Linked DNA regions of Drosophila melanogaster. The protein of the gene in region 2 interacts with the protein of the main gene of each other region in a pairwise test. Each region holds a gene or a part of one and is shown on either strand. Other genes may lie near its edges.

Region 1 (3,835 bases), on a different chromosome or scaffold from region 2:
TAAGTTAAGCACTTTCTTCTTGAGCCGTATTGGCACATCCACTAAAAATAACACTGCGCAAATAGAAGCTCCATTGCTGTTGTAGATTCGACAAACATAGGAACTTTCCACACCTTGTTCAACAAAACACTGCCGCAAATGCCACATGTTAAGATCAAACTAAGACGACGCACAGATTGAGATTTTGGACCAAACCCCTCCAGATAGATCGTATAAATAGCAGACACAGATCTGGATGCTGTATAGTACTTGAGTACAGTGTTCAACAGACAGAGCTTAAGATGAGACCCGAATTCGTCCTGGCCTTTGGTTTGGTTGTCCTCGTGGCGACCGTTTATGGTGGCACCGACTCATCCTCGAGCGACTCGTCCTCTTCCACATCACCCACTTCCAATTCATCGACTCCATCGACTTCCAGCTCAAGTTCGACACCCAGCTCTTCGTCCTCCACCTCAACTCCGTCCAGCAATAGCACTACGTCTACTTCGTCCTCCACTCCTAGCAGCTCTTCTTCCACTTCGCCCACTTCCTCCACCTCATCGACGACTGCCACAACCACGGCCCCCTCCACGTCCAGCGACACGTCCTCCTCCTCCACGAGCTCCGACAGCGAGGAGGTGGACAGGCTGAGGCGCAGGCTTCGCAGGCTCCGGCGGCTGAGGCGTCAGGAGAGGCGCCAGGAGATTCGCCGGGAGAGGCAGCAGGAAAGGCGCCAGCAGAGTCGTGCTGGAAGAAGGCGCCAACGTAGGGGATAAACCATCGGCTTAACCCGATCGAACAATGAAATGGTCCAAATTGAAAAATAAATGCATACACAAAAGCAACAATCGTAGTTATGACTTGGTAACTTGGCACCTTAAAAACAAGTGAAATCATTTGGATCGAATTGTTAGTCAAACAAAGAAATTCAATATTCGGTTTCATCTTGGAAAAGAAGAAGAAGGCTACACTATATACTCTAATGAAGAATCCTAAGTAAATCATTTTCCGATCTAGTTAGTTGATCAAGTGGAACTGGTCTAAGTGCAGACATAATTCCAGATGATAACTTAATCGATTAGGAACTTGCAAATGAAAGTGAAAAATAGGAGTTTGTTCTAAGTTTTCTTTTAGTGAGAATTCATTCTTTATGTACAATATGCCATCTTAATCTTTATTTAAGCTTAGAGGTTATTTAAATATGGCTTTCTGTTCAAAAGGCTTAACAATACATATTCATCTATTTAATAAACAATGTACCGTGTTTGCACACATGCTAACAATACGTTCAGCCAGCCAATCCAAAAAAAAACCGTTTTGTTTAATTACTAACGAATTAGAACTTTCCACAGCCATCAACAGCTTTCGCGCTTACAGAGAAGATAGTCTCGTCTTTTTATTGAGTTTAATCTATTTGTCTTGACGAGAACGTAAAATGTACTCTAAAACATTCAAAGCAAACACAGATTCGACAATTAAAGCGAATCAAGTGGATCATCCCTATAAATACTCGGATTTAAACCACTATCCACACAGTACTCCATTTAGTGACAAACTGAGCTGAAGATGCGTTGCCAATTCGTTATCGCCTTTGGGCTTTTGGCCCTAATAGCAACTGCCTACGCCGATTCTCCACCTGCGGCAGGATCCCCACCCGCGTCATCTCCACCGGCTGGAACCCCAACCTCGCCACCTCCAGCGACTGGAACACCGCCCTCACCATCCCCAGCGACTGGAACACCACCTTCAGCATCCCCAGCTGCTGGTACACCGACCTCGCCAACTCCAGCGACTGGAACACCGTCCTCGCCAGCTACTCCTGATGCGCCCGCTTCCTCGACATCACCAGCTACGCCCACATCGCCCAGTGACAGTGGATCCAGCAGCAGCCAGGAAGTGATTAGGCTCAGGCGTCGGCTGCGCCGGCTGAGGCGTCAGCTCCGCCGCGAGAGGCGTCAGGCCAACCAGAGTAATCAGAATGGAGGTGGTGGTCAGGGGCGAGTGGTTCGCCGTGTACACCGTCACCGTCGTCTATTGTAAAATTCACGAACATGTTGGCTACGAATTTGAAATAAAATTCCAGACAGAAATGCAATAAATCTAAAAAAAACATAAATGTATTGAATGGCTTTTTAAATTAGAGGAACCATCGCTCTTTTTGTAATGCATACATTAGTAAACTAACTTATATTTGCCCAACAAACTTTCTAAACATTGCAATGAATATTTCGAATAGAAGCGTTCTAAACATTGAAATAAATATTCTGATTAGGAAGTTCGTTGCACATATTTAATTCAAAATGACCGCGAAACGGTGCTGCCAGATGTCTGAATTTCGTGCACTGCGGAGCGGATCTTCTTTCTACTAAGGCAGGAAGGGTCATACTAACACCTCCACTTCTCACCAAAACAAAGGTTACCCCGAAATTTAATCAAAATAAATCGAAATGCCGGTGGATTGGTTCGGATATGTGTACGCAGCCACGGTCGCCGCCGGAGGAATCATGGGATACGCCAAGGCGGGTAAGTGACCAGCCCCCTGACCGTGGTCATGTCCGATTGTGCAACGCCCTGCATTCCAGGTTCCATTCCCTCGCTGGGTGCTGGTCTGGCCTTCGGAGCCCTGCTCGGCTATGGCGCCCACCTCAACTCCCAGGACACGCCTCGTCCCCTGCTCCAGTTGGGCACCTCCCTGTTCCTGGCCGGGCTGATGGGCGCCCGCTGGAACCGATCCGGAAAACTGATGCCCGCCGGAATGGTGTGCATGCTATCCGTGGCCGCCTTGGTCAAGAACCTGGCCACCTATAATCGCTACCTAATGCCCGCCGGCACAAAGGCCCCTTAGGCTAATTTCCGGCCACATGCTGGACTTGCCAGGAGATTGCCCTACCTTCATTCTTCATTCGTATTGAATAGGTTTTCTACTTTTCGGTGATTGGAACTTTGGTAATGCGCTGTGTCACTTTCTAAGATAGTGATTAGGAACTGTACTTGCTGCAAATATATTTTATCACCTATGCTTTTAACTTGTGGACTTCTTTGTACTCAATTGTAATACTTGGTCACATTTAATAGCATACTTTCAGGCACTTTGGTATGACAGTTCGCATAGAAGCACAGAAATACACCATTTCGTACATTCAAATCTTTTTTTGTATATTTATTGTTTAACTTAGCTTTTGTTTCTTTTGTGTGTGTGATAAATTTACAGTTTCATCTATTATACGATGTTCAGTTAACTACAACTAAAACTTAGCTATTACATTTTGTTGCTGCATGAAAAGAGCATTAGGCTAGGTAAACGTAGAGTGATGGATTTTTTTTTTTTTTTAGAATTTAGGCTTCTAACAAGTTTATTACAATAATGAAGTGAATAATTTGAGTTTTCTGCAGGCAAAGTGCGGCAAGGTAAGTATATTATCGATTCTCCACCTTTCTAGCATTTTCCCAACAGGAAACGATAAATATTTGTTAAGTAGAGTGTACAAATTATATATGTTTATCACATTGGAAAGTGGGATTATTATTAAATTTCCTTTCGATTGATTTGTGGCTCAAGAAATAATTTAGGTTGTCTGCCGAAAGTGCGTGCATGTGTAGATGAAGTTTTTACAGAATTATATGTACTATTTTACAAAATTGTTTGCATTTTGCATTAAATTAGATTACATAATATATGCGTGTACTGAACATAACAACATTGCTGGCTGCTGCGTTGCCCTCAGCAAACAGGCAATCATTTAAATTAGAATTAGCTGCGGCTAGAACTAACAACAAATCAATAGGGTTTCGTACAGAGTATAATAGTAATAAATTCTAGCTAAAAACACTTTAAGCTGCAAACACTTCTTCCAAT
Region 2 (7,158 bases):
TATCATCCGCCACACTATCCGCCAAGCTATTCGTATCCGTATCCTCAGCCACAGCCATGCGGTTGTCCGCCCGGTCCTCCAGGTCCACCTGGTCCACCGGGACAGCCGGGGCAGAAGGGCTATCCCGGCCCCAAAGGATCCAAGGGTGATCCCGGCGAGAAGGGGCCGCGTGGAGATAAGGGCCACCCCGGGATGCCTGGAATCCCTGGCCAACCTGGTCCTCAGGGTCCTCCTGGATATCCCGGAGGTTCATATCCACCGTATCCGTATCCTCCACCTCCTCCTCCTCCATCACATGGACATGGAGGCCCTAAAGGCCACCAGAGGCACTACTATAACTACTATGATGAGGACGAGTATGATTACGGCAATGAGCGTTCTTTTGGTCTGAGAAAAACCGAAGAATTCGACGACCAGCCCTTCATTTTGGCCTTTAGTGAACGCAGAAATCCGTTTAGCACAAAAAACAATAAAAGACGAAATTAAAATAACATTATTTAAAACGAAATAGCTTTGATAATTATTTCTGTAGGTAAAAAGCAGATACCCAATACTTAAAAGGAACTTTCAAAATTCTTTTGAAGAATGTCCTTTTTGACTTTTGAGTGGCTTCGTTTATAAATGACACCAAAAATCATACAAAGTGTGGGTTTATCGATTACCTATAAAAATATACCACGCACTCAGCGTTTAAATCGAAACCTCTTTACAAACTGTATATTATTAGACATTTGTTAAGTCGTTTAAAATCTCACATTACATTAGGCAGAAAAGCTGGCTTAAACTATTAGCAAACATCGTCGTCTAGGGCGGTGTGGTCGTCGCCCTCCTCCTCCGCTTCCTCATCCAATCCCGCTTGCGTGGCACCAATCTCCGCGAAATCATCCTCCATGGTATCCACAAAGCTCGACACCCTATCATCGCAGAACAAACAGACATTAGAAACAAATAACAAAGACATTCGTTGGCTGGCATCACTTTTCAAAGTCGCACTGCGGCAGGAGACCCTCCTCCTTCGAGGCGCTGAATCGGAGCAGCGTGCACAGTCTGAGGAGTCCGAGGAGTATCAGGAACATCCCGGCCACATAACTCAGCCACAGATTGTGGGGATACAGGATCAGGCAGATGCCGATGACCGCATAAACAGGAGTGGGTCGCCAACCGCCACAAATCGCTGAAAGTCGCCAGCAGGCCAAGCAGCTGCAGGACCTTCGCTGGTAATTATCCCTGAAACAAATTGAATTCACAAATATGTGAACAGAGAAAAATTTGCAGAGAAAAATCTGAGCAAAGGCACTTGATATAGAGTATTGTATATAATAGTAAAGTATATCATATTATAGTATAATTAGGGTTTAATTAGTTTTACAACTACTAGGCTTGGTAACTAGAATTTCTATATTTCATAAATAATAACTGCTAATTATCAAATAATATATATACGAATAACTATAATTTATGAACATGTTATTTGGTAATCTTGAATAGTTTTCTTACTCTGCGCACTGAAGTTGCAGGAAGATAGTCACAAGCCACTTGATCTCGATAAACATTACCAGCACGGCTGAAAAACTAACCAGAAATTAGTATAGTTATGGGGGATATTTAGATCCGTGACTTACACTATATAAAGACCGGCCCGATAGCCATGCATGTAGACATCAACGCCAACGCCGCAGATAACTGAAATGAAAAATGGCTAAAGAAAGGTTCGGTGCGGGGGGTCCTTTTTGGCGGGTTGAAACGAGGAGTGTTATCCTTGAACGAGCCTATAAAATAATGTGAGTGTGTCTAGGCAAATATATTTATAAGCATATTTATTGAGCTGGGCCTTTTTTGTTTACCATGCTTTGGCCATAAAATGTAATACAAAACCAATGAATGGAAACGAGGTGAGCTCAAGAAGTTTATCGCAATTTTACTGAAGCTTACATCATTTGCAATAGAGTATTTTAAGAAGGCAATGTCCTACACATTACGAAATAACATAATGATAATTAATAATAAATAGCTTGGAAGAAACTTCAATATTCATGACGAACTTAAATTTTATAACTTAAAAGGTTTCTATATTTTTGTCGAACAGCCCTCCGCAGGGCATTCATATTCTAACCACATTATGGTTCCGCTTCACATTTTGTCTTAGCCAAATCCACTTTGAGTGTATAAGATATGGTTAGATGTGGTTATGGAGCCACCACGCCCAGTGGTCCATAAAAATACAATCTAATTAAGTTGTTTTTATTATGCCGGGTCGCGAAAAACCAATCAGATTAGCCAGTTAGATATATGTATATGTATGCCCCATATTTAAGCACAACTGCAGAACCGAAACCAAACCAATTACATTAAATGCTGTCAACGGAGATAAAAATTGAAAAAGCGGAAATCGAAAAAACATGCAAAAATTATCTGGATAATTGAAAGCGGTGGGGGAAAAATAGATGCCGGGCAAGAGGAAAACTTGGCGAATGGCTGGCGCCTAAAGGCTAACAACACAGCTCATTGTCGACCGTATGGAAAAGTTGCTGATAAGGGGAAAATCGGGCTGGGAAAACTCTGCTCTTGGCACAGGATGCCAGTCGTGAGCTGCAAGCTGCAAGCTGCATAGAGGCCAATGCCTTGTTAATGGCTCTGCCAGAGAGTTTCCTTGGAAAACCCCATCCCTCTTACCCGATCCCTATAATGCGGAGCTTATGAACTACAGAGATTTTATACTTTGTTTTCCTGCGTGCCACTGCACCCATGATGGACCCCAAAACAATTTGCAAAGAAATTAGTTTGAACTTGACCCGAAGTTTTTGTTGGCCTGCCTGCAGCTGGGCGATTTATCAAATTCTGTATAAAAAAACGGCGGTGCACTATCTTAAGCGCATTAGGAAAATGTCAGATGGTGGAGGAAAATCGTTATGATTGGCCACGATAAGCGTTTAAGCCAACTTTGATAACTTCACCAGATGGCAGAAAAATTGGGATGAAAAAATGTGATTGCATTTTCGTAGATTAGAATGCGGATACAGGGTGAAAAAGTTACGTTGTGCAACCAAACTGAATTCATTTCAGAAAGGTAATATTATTATTTATTAAGTTTTTGCTTCACTTTACCTTGCCTGTTTAATAAATTAAATTTGACTTCGTAAATTGACAAACGAAATGCCATTAAATTTCAGGCTGTCAATCTAAAATTATTGCCTCAATTTAAACGGAAAAAATGTAACACAAAGCTGGGTTGTACAAAAAAAGCATAATTGAATTGTAATTAAATGACGCAAAAAAAGGGAAATTAATCTTCTACCAATTTACTCTCTGTGTTCTATTTAATTGTTAAGCTAAACTGGAATTTCAGTAGTATTGGATGGCATTTATTTATTTTACCAAATTACATTAGGTCAAATATCCTGTTCATTAGAGCACATATTCTGTGCTATATGTGCTCTGTGAATATGGAAAACCATTTCCTTTTATGTACATTTATTTTGCCAGTCTTCTCAAACAAATGCAAAACCTTTGTGTACAATGAAAATATTGCTCAAAGAGTAATATTATATGAATTGAAAGGAACAATAAAAGCAGCCAATAAGAGCGTGTCCCCATTCAGCATCGTCTTCGTCTTGCGAATCCCATTCAGTGCCAAGAAATATAATAAGCCACAGCACTCAACATATCCCGAGGCAATGGTTCCCATGCACAAGTATTTCCTACGATTTGTCAAGGGTAAACATTCCAAATAAGGGCCAGAAAAGCATTGCACATTCATACATAAATGCATGCACATGCACATGCATCATAGCCTCGTATCGAGATTGGCATTATCTCGAAACGGGGGTCACCTGGGCACCGGCACCGACAAGTCTTATTCCACTGGCTCGGATTTCCGCGCACTTGAGCTTACCGAATGAAGTCAGCAGACCAAAAACCCTTATCACAGGACGAAGGCACTCGCACGGCTCTGCGGACTGATTGCGGCGATGATGACGGGCGCGGCGAACGCGCTGCGATTGCAGTTGCATCTGGCTCATGGCTGACTTGGTTATATATATATATATATAGATATTTACTTTATGAATTTCTATCTATATTTGTTTTATGAATCGCCAAAAGTGCGGCTTTATTCTTAATATCTTATTTATTGGAGCTCAAGTTTTTCTTCTCCTTCGTTATTACTGATGACAAAAGTCGAAGCCATAGCATTTAAATTTTTGATTAATGTGTAAGCTCCACTTACTTAATTTCCAATTTATTTAATATATTTATTCGTTTTTAATTTCACTTTAGAACAATTTTAGTTTTTGGTTAAATTCAAATTTTCAATGTACTACTTTCTAATCCTCCATAACTTTAAATACTCTCATCCGAAACTGACGTTTTAGGTCCTGTCCAAGGGAATCGCTAATAAAACAATCAAAGAGCCGTATCCACATCACAAAAATGCACTACGTGCCTGGCATACTAAGTGGCCAAACAACTTTGCGATAAATATTTTCAATTCCAGCTCGCACAGCTTTTAAATTTCACCATTTAACTCGGGCACACACTGCGTATTCGTAATGTGACATTTTTCGCACCTCTCCTTCCATTGCCTTTAATCACCGCACCGTTTGCTTGTGTGTGTGTGTGTGTGTGTGTGTGGCAACTAATGTCTGCAAATTACCGTTACCATTTGCACTTTGCCCCCGCACGTTGTGTGCCCTCTATAATATATATTTTTTTTATTAAATATTTTTCTTATTGTTGTTGAAGGTTTGTAACTTTTTTTATTTTTGTCAAGTGCCACTTTGCCACACGACTTTATGGCCGAGCTCTAAACAACGAACGTCCGCACGCTTCCAGCGGCGCCAGCAGAATGAAACTGAATGAAAGGACCGGCCAGGATTCGTTTCTATTTTCGGAGTCAGGATCCAGAGTCGCCGCTCAGGCTGCTTTTCCCATTGCTTTTCCTACTGCCACTGACTTTGTAGCCAAATACCAGCCAATGGGGCGGCGCTGCATTCGAAACTGCTAAGTTGATTTGTTACGAGAACGAACGCGTAGTGTTTATTTCTTTTTAAATGCGTTTTTGCGATTTAATGCTGAGATTTATGGAGACCGCAAAATTTATCCATGTTGTTTTAAAGATGTTTTTAATTGGTTAGCTGTTTTTGACATCCACTATCATTTGTATTTGAAAACTTATTTGGCGTTGGCAGTATGAGAATTCTTTAAAACTATGCTCTTGAAATATATTAATTGAAAGCAAGAATATAGGGCTGATTTTTAACTAGAATAATGCTTTAATTTCAATCAGAAGTTATTTAACTTGGTTTTTTTTTAGTATTGTAGTAGGAATACAATTTTTGAATTACATTGTTAATATAATTAAGGAACTCAAATAAATAATTAATTTTCTTTTTGTCTTCAGTATTTTAATTAGAACTGTTTGTATGTTTTATCTCTTTTTTTTTGTAAAAAGTGTTTCCTCTCGCGATTTATTGTGTAGCGTAGCGCATTGGGTCAGTCTTTATAGTCCTGCGGTTTTTTACAAGAAGGCACCATGGGCGAGAGCTTAATATTGTGTGTGATTTAAATATATTCCCACCCGAATGCTTACTTGATTACGATTTTTCCAAATGTAAAAGAAGAGGGAAGTATGAAATTTACCTACGATTTTACACAACGAAAATCTTACTTATATGCACTTGATAAATATTCTACCAGGTGTAAAGATAATCTTTAACTATTACAAATATTGAAGTTTTAAGCCTAAAACAGGATTCTCGGCCCACTGCTCAAAGCCAGCTTGATTTTATTTGTCACGTTGTCCTGTGTGTGAAGCCAGTGCCTCATGTTGTTGCCACTGCTCAAGCGGCTCTGTGTGTGCGTGCCCTCGTCCTGCAGGTCCTGTGGATCCCCGCACCCGTCTTTGGCCACGTTTCAGTAATTTTCATAACTGGCTGAATGGTGAGCGGAGCGGCGGGAGGTGTAAAGAAGCTCAAAAGACAACCAGGAGCAAAGCTGAGCAATTGCCAAGAGGCGGACGAGTACGCAGAATGTGGACAAAAACATTTTCGGTTGCTACACCGCCCTCATCCTCATAAATTAAATGGGGGCCAAATTCAGGAGAGGGGAAGCACGAGTAAATATTTTTTTAGCTCCTCCGCTTATTGTCCTGTGCATTTGCTAAGGTGTCTGTCGTCAGGCTTGTTTGCATTATGCGGCGTTAATGACATCCAAAGTGGCAGCCGTCGCCCCAAGGAAAGTCTCCACTGTCGCCGCCATCTACGACATAATTCACAGATGCCCCACACTCTGAAAAGTTAATTTCCTTAAGGAACAGCTCGAGGATTCTAGCGAAATACTTCTGAAGGTCGTCCTTGATACCGCCTCCTGCAGTTGGAGTCGTTTGTCCAGGTCTTCTATGCTTGCAATTGGTCTTACACTGTACACAATGAAAAAAGTTGTAATTTGCAAAAACAAAATTTTACATTTATTGTAATGTTTGTTTGTTAGTTAATGTCTTTTAGATATGGTTAGAGTTAATTACTTTGTAGCCATTTAAAAAAGGCTTTTTATAATTTATTGATCCAATTTGGTGTCCTCCTCACTTTGATAGCTGTTCTAATTTTTCTCATTTGCATAGCGTCTGCATCACTATTCATTTTTTTAAGTGCATTCCGTCTTAATGACGCTTTCCGCGCCGCTCACTTGGGAAACTCCTTGCGCCGCTTCATTATCTTGGTAATCCCGGCCACCATGGCCACCTCGGGCAGTGACAGCTTGGCATCCTCCTGGAAATCGCAGCGTCTGTTTAAGTGCAGACAGGTCCGTTCCGGATTCAAGGACAGCGGCATCTGCAACCAACTGACGTAGTCGATTTTCAAAGAGCCTGTGAGCAGCTGGTCAAAGGGGGTGTTCCCAATGAAGAACATGGACCTCAGCACCGAGGTCTTGGCCTCCTTGATGTTCTGACCCTGTATGCCTTGGAAAGGACTGGGGTCATTGTCGCCAGTTCCCAGTTGCTCGAGCAGCCAGTCCTTGTTGAACTTCAAATAGTTGTATACCACTTTCAGGGCCTGTTTTCCGATATTTGTGGTCAAAACATCGCTGACCAGGACTTCGGCTATGTAATCAGCGATTCCCACATCCAGTTCCATGGCATAGTTGTTGGGTGGACTGTGGCTC

Evidence for each region. Proteins that work in one complex are often made in the same cells at the same time.
Region 1: the proteins of CG14086 (region 2) and CG5532 interact in a two-hybrid assay, tested with the Drosophila melanogaster proteins (one large-scale study listed by BioGRID).

Annotation. Positions count from the first base shown.
Region 1 is NT_033778.4:23,750,404-23,754,238, forward strand, and holds CG5532 (uncharacterized protein), read left to right. Parts: upstream 1-2,350; 5' UTR 2,351-2,426; coding exon 2,427-2,502; intron 2,503-2,561; coding exon 2,562-2,824; 3' UTR 2,825-3,112; downstream 3,113-3,835. Other genes in the region: CG12491 (uncharacterized protein), read left to right, coding at 282-755; CG11300 (uncharacterized protein), read left to right, coding at 1,546-2,019.
Region 2 is NT_037436.4:19,273,454-19,280,611, reverse strand, and holds CG14086 (uncharacterized protein), read right to left. Parts: upstream 4,822-7,158; 5' UTR 4,020-4,821; coding exon 3,893-4,019; intron 1,684-3,892; coding exon 1,623-1,683; intron 1,573-1,622; coding exon 1,498-1,572; intron 1,228-1,497; coding exon 979-1,227; intron 915-978; coding exon 788-914; 3' UTR 693-787; downstream 1-692. Other genes in the region: CG14089 (uncharacterized protein), read left to right, coding at 1-486; CG14085 (uncharacterized protein), read right to left, coding at 6,678-7,158.